Linked DNA regions of Neodiprion lecontei. The protein of the gene in region 1 purifies or fractionates together with the protein of each later gene. This does not show direct contact. Links are inferred from orthologs where the notes say so. Each region holds a gene or a part of one and is shown on either strand. Other genes may lie near its edges. The genes, in order: neurogenic locus Notch protein and protein disabled.

Evidence for each region.
Region 2: the proteins of neurogenic locus Notch protein (region 1) and protein disabled purify together in Drosophila melanogaster (affinity purification with western blotting; 4 studies listed by BioGRID). This does not show direct contact. The link is inferred for Neodiprion lecontei from reciprocal best matches to the Drosophila melanogaster genes N and Dab.

The regions. Positions count from the first base shown.
Region 1 is NC_060261.1:15,201,654-15,206,595, forward strand, and holds the start of neurogenic locus Notch protein, read right to left. Parts: upstream 3,305-4,942; 5' UTR 3,048-3,304; coding exon 2,960-3,047; intron 1-2,959. UniProt on the Drosophila melanogaster protein: Essential signaling protein which has a major role in many developmental processes. Functions as a receptor for membrane-bound ligands Delta and Serrate to regulate cell-fate determination.
Region 2 is NC_060264.1:4,777,236-4,782,491, reverse strand, and holds the start of protein disabled, read right to left. Parts: upstream 3,241-5,256; 5' UTR 1,914-3,240; coding exon 1,877-1,913; intron 865-1,876; exon of another isoform or gene 862-864; intron 1-861. Other genes in the region: 3-ketoacyl-CoA thiolase, mitochondrial, read left to right, coding at 3,511-3,529, 4,773-4,939, 5,032-5,163. UniProt on the Drosophila melanogaster protein: Together with Abl, involved in embryonic neural development. May have a role in eye development. Acts as an adapter protein for SH2-domain containing proteins during sevenless (sev) signaling.

The DNA.
Region 1 (4,942 bases):
ATATATTCTCGTTTTTCTGCTGAGTTCTCTCGTTACATCTCTATACATATACTAAGTTTCTTTCCTTTTTCCTATTCTTTAAACGTTTATTAAATCAATTCCGTTCAGAATTCATTGATCCCTTACCAATGGAAAACAAACAACCAACGAATTGTTGCATACAGTTCCCACAATGATATTAAAGAATCGAACTGGCGTCGGAGCCTTTCATTATAAAATACATAAGTATTACAGAATGTGTAAAATTTAACCCGACCAACTTGATTCAGAGCTAGGCGACGCTCTCGACCTCCGGTTTCGCCAAATCTTACGCTCTGACCATTCGGATATCTATGCATTGAATTATCACAATGCTCTTATATCGATGTTTTTGAATAGTTCTCAACTCCATCTTATTATATAACACATACTTAAATGCAGTCTACATTACAGTTTCAAGAATTTCGTTATCATTATTATATCAGCCAGTTAACTTTATCGCATAAGATGGAGAAAAAAAATACTTCTTACACGTAACTTCAAAAACCCAAAGAATCTTTTCAACGATTGCATAATTTTATATTCAACTTGGAATTTAATTCCATCACACCAGTTTCACCCAAGAAAGAAAGAAAAAAAACTATTCTGTCACTACTTTTGTATAATCAATTCTAATAAAAAAAATAATGACAAAGATTTTGTAAAATTTTCCAATCATTGAACAAAGATCATGTATCGTATGTTATATTTTATACGACTGTGAATAAAATTTGAATCAATTCATCGAACCTGACTAATACTTATTTTCAACTTATTCATCAATAATGGTCAAAATCTATCGTACATGTATAGAGAACAATACACATAATCCTACATTATATATAAGACACACGGCAATGGGAGAGGCGAAGATAGGTTTCTAAGGAGAGAAGAGAAAGCCTGAGAACATAGTTCCGTAGTTGTTGAGACTCCGACAACCTCTGTGCGGCATCGGTATTACATACCTATATACAATACGAGTTCAACACATCCGTAAATTTGGTCTAGCCTAGAGTGAATGTGGATTATGAGTATATACACATATGTATACGCATATGTGTGTGTATATATATACACATATACACAGATGCAGCGGAGAGACGGACTCCAGGTAAGCTAATTGTAAGCCAGGGCGCAAGGAAGGCATGGATGGAAACCGAGGCGAGGAGCAAGGCCTAGTTATTTCGCCTCAGAATTCCAGCCGACACGCAGACGAACCACCGTGCGCCATGTTTACTCGCGCTTCATTTCTCTCGGATTCTTTATTCCGGCTGGGACGGGTCTATTGTATGCATTAACGCATTCGCCACTCGCCGGAATTCACCGGAAACGACGCTACAATTATAACGAATTTTTTCTTCTGTACCGCGTATTACTGTAAAAGTTAACGCCGTAGAATATGAAACGTTCACATGAAATACAGTTGCTCTGACTGTAATTAAAAGTTTAGGAGGGATAATAGCACGCAATAGTTCTTGTTTTAATTTTTTTATCTTGTTTTTTTTTTTGCAACTTCCAAGTTGTATATTTTTTACGACGGTGATTTTACAGTTGATTTTATAAAAGAGTTTTGAAAATGTTGAACGTCAAGTTATATTTAGTTCATATTTTGGAATAGCGTGAGTGATTTTTATCTATCACGATTCAAGTAGAAGGTTGATTGTGTTATATGGAAATATAACGATTGCTTAAAACGCGTAATCTGGAAAAAGGGTAATCCGACTTTTGTAAATAATTTGAAAGTTGTTCCAAAACTGATATATTTCCTGTTACAAAATTACGGATAAATAAAATTTGGGAAACGATTTGCTTTGAGTTTATTGTAAAATTCATCAGATTTTTAAACGGTCCTAATAATGCGGTGAGTGTAAAATTTCACCTGGATATCAACGCCCGAGTTCAATAAAGTCTATATACATATACATATACGTGTACGTAATAAACCCAACAAGAAAGATATTCGTTTCGTGGAAAGTGGGGTTGAACACCTGTCGTTTCAACAGGGAGTCCCAACCTGTGACGGAAAAAGCCGGTACGCACACGCGAGACGATTTTTCAATTGAGAACCGCTGTCGCGACCACGTGACTCGTGTATTCGGCATTTTATAAGCACTCACTCGCTCAGGCAAGCAGGACTAGCTGTGCGTGAGGCTGAAAGCCGGTCCGGTCGTAAAAACGAATTTGCGCAGAGCGAGGAACTCGAACTCTAATTCATTCAGGAATCGTAAAACGATTCGTTATGTATTCAATTATTCAATGCCTTAGTTGCGTGTTCGGTGAGAATCGGGCGAAATGTAATGTTACGGTAGAAATTTCGATCGATCAAGCTTGATAGAAAACTCAAGTTTTCACTTAATTTGAGTGGAATATTTAAACGTAAGTTTATGGTTTACCGTGACTTTTGACAAAGCTTAAATGCAAAGTTCAGATCGCTCTTCGGCGAGAGGTTTTGATCAAGCTTGATCGAAATTTGAAGCACGCGGCGGAAGGGAAAAAGAAAATGTCAGATTTGTTTTCATCGCGCAGAATGAATGGAAAAACCGGATGCTTGCGGTTACATTGATGAATCAAGAGATTTTCGAGGTGGCGGTTTATTCGGGTATATTTTCGGGACAGGTAGTAGTGGAATGGCAGCAACTCGACGCCTCGCGACGCGCCCTGAAATGCTAATGCAGGAATACTTGAGGCAGGCATTCGCTCGGCGAAGCCGGGCTGCCGACTTTGGGGTGTTTTCGAGTTTTTAAGTAGGACAGCGCGTTCGAAAATGTCGCGCCGGCGCGGAGAAACCCGCGTCGCTTTTCAGACCTGTTGCACAGCCTGCAGCTGCCGTCGCGACGGGGAGTTTTTTGTTTCCGCACACGCGCATTCTAAGGGGGAACTTGAAATTCCGGGTGACGACTACGGAGGATTCTTCCGTTTTATTCGATGAGAATAAACTCACCGTGAACCGAGGCCGGCAGACTGGCGACGAAAAGAGCCAGAGCGACGATCGTCAATGCGTAATCCATATTCCGCTGTAGACGGAGCATGTTGGCGGAGAATTTATCCACACAGAGATCACACACATCAGACAATTGATCACACAATCACTTAATCACTATAATAACATAATGCGATACCGTGCAGTGCAACCGGCTACAGTCCATTATCGTTTAACACCCGGGTAACTTCAATGTTCATCGTAACTTCAATCTGCTGCTGCTGCTGCTGCTGCTCCGGCGGCGTGTTTACATTACGCGAGCTGAACAACGTGAAGCAAAACAACGACACAGACCTCATATACGAACATGACCGCGGCTCAAACTCGTCTGGGATTCTATTGTTCACTTCACGCGCTGAAAGTAGTCCCGGAACGGCGCGCGCATCTCGAGCGAGAACGCTTGTCTCACTCCGCCGATCACAAAATGGCCGACACCATCTGCCAATCCCGCTGTCCAATCGAGGGGTTGATGCGTTCTACGGTTCCGTTCGAACTACGCTATGAAATTGTACGAGTGCCCGTTTTCGACGCCCTGCAGCCCTCCGCTTTTTTCTCATTCGGTCCCCTCGTATCGTTTAAATACCTCCGTCACGTGACACCGCCTCCATTTATGCCGCGGGGGACAAAAAATCCTGCCGCACGCTGCCTCCGAAGGGCCTGCTTGGCTATAAACTCTTGTACAAATATTAATATACGTTGGTTTATTATCGAACACTTCAATGAAATACAATCTTCATACGATCTTCTTTATATGAGATTATCAGATTCTTAGGTACATGTAATCCTATTCGCGATGCACCAAGAACAAGCGGGTTTCGGCTGACCATGAGCCAGCCTTTCAACTTGCCGTTTGCAAACTCGTTTCGAGCTGAAATAATAAGAATGATATTAATAATGAAAAATTTACAGATCTCATTGATTCGTGATCACCGACTCAAAAAACCTTCAAGTATAAATTTTCATCAAAATCCAATTGTTTTTAGTTTTTTTAACTCGAGATTCGTGATTTGCGACATAAAAATCTAAAGTAATGACACAAATGATCATGCAAATTTGTTCACCCATTTTCAAGGTATCATTTCTATTCTATTTGTAAGAATATTGTTATTTAAATAATTCGACATGTAATGAACCAATCAAAGCCGAAATATAATCCGATCTACGTTTCGAAAAATCGCATCAATTGCGACAAAAACATTAAAATCGTGATGCTCTAGATTTTAAAACGTGCAGATCTAGTGAGAACTCAACTTTTCATTTTCGGAGCTATTACAATAACTTCCTTTTTACTCTGAAAACATAGAAAAGAGAAGTTAAACGTGCATAGCTGCTGAAAGCAGCTAAATTTTTTATCTTATATGAACTCACTAAAAATTTTGTTACAGTAAATATCGACTTAATTAAATTTGAAGAATCTTTTTACTTCAGACAGTTGAAATGAAATCTTGTCAACTAAATATAAATTTATGAGAATGGAATACTTCATTATTTCAAGTAAAGATTTATGCGTTACAGATAAATTTTTTAATTTGTTTGTACGCAACTAAAATTTATTTGCTTCAGTTTCACTTTATTTTTCTGAGTGCAGTATTAACTCTGTCTTGCAATGATATTCTTTAATTTAAAGATTTGTTCGAGTTTGAAAATTCGTTTAAAATAGAAACTATGTAGAAGCTCTTGGCGACATCAACCTAACTACTAATTATGGACGAAGCGTTTATGTTTATTATACATTACATTATAATACTGTTTCAGCCAGTTCGATATAATGAGATATCGCGTGTGTATACACAATTAATGAAGGTAATTTAAGCTCGTTAATAATAGACATTTGAGCCTTGAGAAATGAATAAATAATGATACATTATGTCAAACCGAAGATAGATGTTCAAATTAATATAAATTTCGTTTGCTCTTTCTTTTTTTACATTCTTTTTTCCCATC
Region 2 (5,256 bases), on another chromosome or scaffold:
TTCCTTTCGCTTTTCAATAAAAATAGGTCGAAAGTTGCTTAAAATATGATTCAAGTTTCATTTGTAAGTTCAGGTTTGTCTAATTTTTGTATTTTCAAAGATACCTCCCAGTAGCTCACGAAAGTACAATAATTTTACAGACAATACTCAACGTACGATTATCGTACGAGATAAAATTCATAAAATGAATCGATTTGTTTTTTTTTTTTACGAACCAATGTCAAACAAGCGTACAAATTAATTGCCTTGGCAAAATGGAGGGTTGGAAAAATACGACAGGTGGGTATAATAACATCGTTGGAAAACGGAAACCACGTCATCGAACGGATGTGTATAATGACACAGGGTGCACGAAACCCCATGATAGCTATGTATATATGTATACATACATATGTAATATATAAAACGTCGGCAATGCCTGGAACGTGCCTAAATTGAGATACTCTATCGCTCCAGAGATTGCGGCGAGCCACTTGACCGTGTAAAAGAGAAAGGGAATAAAGAGCAGACGAAGAAAAGGAAAAGGGAAAAGGAAAATGCTGACAATTGATTTCATCTGCTTTCATGGCGTTCGACTAATTCGCTTTCCTCAGCTCGAGAACAGCTTATATGAGGTATCGAGGCTTCGAGGAGTGTATAAAAATTTAACAAATCCGTTCAGGAACATAATCTCTTCATTTTTGAAGAAAGAGACAGAGAGAGGCGTTTATACGTCCTGGGACATACTTATGAGGTCAGATGGTTATTAAAACACAAAATTAAAATAAAAAGTAATAAAAAGGTGAGTGAATAAATAAACAAATGAATGAGGTGAGAATTATTAAAAATCAAAAAAAAAAACTAAAAAAGAGATAGAGAGAGATCGTGAGCAGTATTTAAATTCGGTAAATGCATGGGAAAATAATAATTCATATTTATAATTATTCAGCTTAAATACGTTGCTATGATTATTATGTTTAATGACAGCTCAAGGTCTCGAGAAACATAACAATTCTTAGCTTTTTTGATCAAGCTAATCAAACAAGAAAATGATTTTTCTCGTCAATAAAAGAAGATCGATACAGATTGGCAAAAAAGTATCGCATCCTCGTGTTTTTCGTTTTTACAGAATTAGCTGGTATTCGACAGTTTTTCGCCAAAGAGTTGAAGACAGTGAATGATTTCACAAATTAAAAATACAAAAATTGAGTATCGTTTCGAAAGACAATAAATTTCTAATTCATTTTTGTCATCTTTGTATATTAAACTATAGTCGGTAAACAAAACCGTAAAATGTAGAGCAGTTCCGAAATGGTTTGAGGAGTATAAAATAAAAGAAAAAAAAAAAAGAAAAGGAAATCTTATCGCCGCACTTTGAAAGTGACTGAAATTCGAATGACGGTAAAAGTACAAGTTGAGAACCGTTTGCCGCTTTAACCTGATCGCGAGCGAAAATATCACGCTGGCGCCGTCTGTCAACGAGATATGGAACTAAATCCACGTTGTAGAGTTGGAAATACAGTTGCCTGCCAAAGGCTTACTCCGCCGTAGGTTGAACGAGCGGGCCGCCGAAGGCATTAACTATTTTATAAGATAAAAATTGATCTCCTCGGAATAGAAACGGCTCGGTGTAATTAAACACCTTATACCCACCTGCGGGGTTTCAACTTACCAGACGAAAGGTGCGTTGAACCTACTCGCTTGCGATACGCAACGAGATACCGGAAATAGACGCTGCAACGAAGTATGTAACGAAATGAAAACTGCACGTATAATTTAGCGCAGCGGCGGGTGAACCGAAAAATTAATGCGAATTGTTGTTACACGGATGCGATATCGTTTGATGAGTAAATTTTGAAATTCGAGTGGGAATTTTTTCTGTTGCAAATCTACTCACACTTGCAGGGGCTGTTCTTCTTCCTTAGGGTCTGCATCAGGCCACCGGCGTAGCGACGTCCGTTCAAAAAGCCTGCAATTTTTGCGTCTCGGTGTTCCTGAGCTTGCGGTTCTCTCTTTTTTCACGTCCCTAGTCTCCTCCTGTTCACCGATTCATCGCTAAGCTCGATACCGCAGGTCCGAGAGCCCTGAATATCCTCGGAGTTTCGCCGCCTTAACCGTTGATCGCGAAAAGGGTGAGGATTCGCACGGTGTGTCACAGGCACAATCACAATAACCATACCGCGTCACAACCACCGAGCGAAATTTCAACCCCGTGGGTAAAAACAATCGAGGAATATCGCGCGCGGCTAAATCGCGGGACTTTCGCTCGCGGGGCCCAAAATTTCGGGCTGGCCTGAAGGCCCGATAATCAAGCCCGCGGCACGGCTGTATAAGCGTGTGGAAATTTAGGGGGATCTGACAGCTGCCTGCCGGCACTGGCCTTCCTTCCATGCCCGCAACCCCATTGATCAATAATACAGTCGAGCGGTAGTACCGAGCGGATCCGTCTCGGCATGCACGGTATAATGTTCGAACCGCGAAAGCGTCGCCTGTCCAATCCGCGTCTTCGACGATTGTTCGCGAATTTTTTTCCGCGAGTGAGAGAATTCGAGAGCGTGGATCAGCCGCGGCTAGAGACGAATTCCGCAAGATATTTCGGGGCGAGACGCCGCGCAAGCTGATTGCACCGGGAAATTACAAAATGGCCACTGCTTTGGCCCACGCGGTTTATTGAAATCAATTGGTGAAATAATTCGCTCCTATACACACCGCATCGCCGTAATACCGTTGCGGTGAATTCGACCGCTTAGCGATTACGCAACGCGGCTACGTTTGTCCGACGAGGTGCATTGAAAACGCCATCCGAAGGCGCGCCTTTTCTTCCACACAATTTCAAATTGCGTTCCAAATCACGCGATCCACGCCTTCTTTCAATTGTATACACACAGGTATGCTTGAGGTGGGTTGTTTCATAGACTCCCTGCACGCTGTCCGATTTATTTCCTCTCGCATTGTCGAGTCAACCACGGGAATATAATCTCCCGTTTTATCGCTCCGATTTTTCGCTAAATCTTCACGTATGCGCGTCTTTTTTATCCGTCGAGGAGATAACGGAGTAGATCCGTCGTACGCAGGTCACGTATAATACGTGTCGGTAAGTTACCGACCGCGTCTAAAACGGCTCGATCATCCGAATATCAACGGACCGCAAATTTTTGATTAAAAAATGGTACAACGATAACTTTAAATTTAATATATTATTGCCAGTTAGTAAAAACGAAAAAAAAATTAATAAAAAATAAAAGAAAAACACTGTTCAATCAAGTTTAAAGTAAAAAAAATAAGCAATGTTTGAAAAACCTTTTAAAACCACGACCAGGAATTCATCAGCTGAATTTAGCTGCCGGAATTTCCGCAACGGAATTCAAGGCGCTAGCGTAGCCGTGAAGATACGTATGCGAAACACAGTAAACGACGTTTCATATTGGATAGTGGGGAGCCTGCGTGGACTTTGGACCTTTGATGGCTTGTAATAAGACTCAACTTCTCTGATTAACGCGTTAGTCCAACGTAGGTCAGAAAACAGAAATCATGTCGATCGCCACCAAAGGTACGATACTTTCTTTTATTATATCAATTTCGGTCAAGTCCCCAAAAATTGTCTGAGTTGACGAATTAGGGCGTTTCGGAGGTTCTTCTCAGAGCCACTCGAGTGGCAGACTCGTCTCGACGGCTGGATTAACTCACAGAACTGTTCCTTTTCTCTGTTGGCTCAACGAGTGTAAACTCACCATCGAGACTCGTTTCGATCTTTCTATTTTTCATTTTTCCGTCACTCCCACTCATTGTCAGTCGAGGTTCTTCGATTAAACCTTTTATTCCTTGACCGATACGCGGAACGCGTTTGAGCCAATATTTTGACCGCCCGATTCGGAAGCATTTCCATTTTGATCAAGTGAGACTTGTTATTTGAAACTCATTAACTGTCATTCAAATTGTAACGTAATCTTGGCGTGACTTTATTTTAACTCGAATGATATATTATGTGTAATGTAACATGAGTTTGCGCAATGTTTCGAACTCTAGACTATGGAATTTTATATTGCGCCACAGCAAACGGAACGATTTTTTTTAACTTTATTATTTCATTCAGATTCTTACTTTACTCCAATTGACTTCAGACGCGAACTTCCAGAGATAATTTTGATCAACCTCACATTTTATCAAACGTTACGTGTGAAACGTATTATTCGAAATTGTGACCACGAGTCGTATTATTTGTTTAAGCTTCGTTCCGTTTGCAGATGTTCTTGTGATTCAATTTTAGCACCATTTTATCCACACCTTTTGCACGTAATAGAAATAATAATACACGTTGAAACGTATCGTGTATTGTTGTAACTACTTTTATTATCTAGAGTATTTAATTATACCCCGTGGACTTTGCTATGCTGAACGCGTTCCGATACTAGATATCAGAGATTATTTTCAATAACAACATAAATTGAAGATAAAAATTGCGTCAATGATTACACGTTCAAATTTTACAGTTCAAAATTGAGTAATCTGAAGATATTATTTCACATATTTGCGGAGCAGCGATCGTTCAATTTTCATTAATATTCAAACGTTTGTAACCGTTTGTTTTTAAAAGTAAAATACTACCGCATCCGTTCGATTTTTTTATACCTGCTAAAATTCACTTCGATTGTCGAGCTTGTGATTAAAAAAAAAAAAAAAAAAAATACCATCCAATCGACTACTCGGAATAACTATCCTCGTTCAATTTTCAAAATCGACAAAGCTCTCGAGATCATATATATTAATCAATAACCGTATTATCGTTGTTTAAGGAATATTCATCGTCGCCGCGAAGCGAACCCCTTTCGGGACACTGGGTGGTAAATTCGTGAACAAGTCTGCGATCGAGCTTCAGGAAGTGGCTGCAAAGGCAGCGATAACAGCAGGTGGATTGAAACCTGAACAGATCGACAGTGTCGTAATCGGAAACGTGTTGGTGGTACGTAAAATTTGACTCGCGAATGTTGCGTTGCGGTAAACGTTGTCTCTCCATAAAATCATCTCTCAAATCTCATTCCAACACGTTTCCAGAACACATCGTCTGACGGAGCATTTCTCCCAAGACATGTTCTCCTCAAAAGTGGAATTCCTCTGGACAGACCCGCCCTTGGAATAAATCGTCTATGCGGATCCGGATTTCAGTCCATTGTTAACGGAGCTCAAGTGAGTATATAAATTACGGTGTTTCAAAATAAAAAATAAATTTTTATAAATTAATTCCTAACAATTCACTCTTTCGAACGGTTGATGGTTATT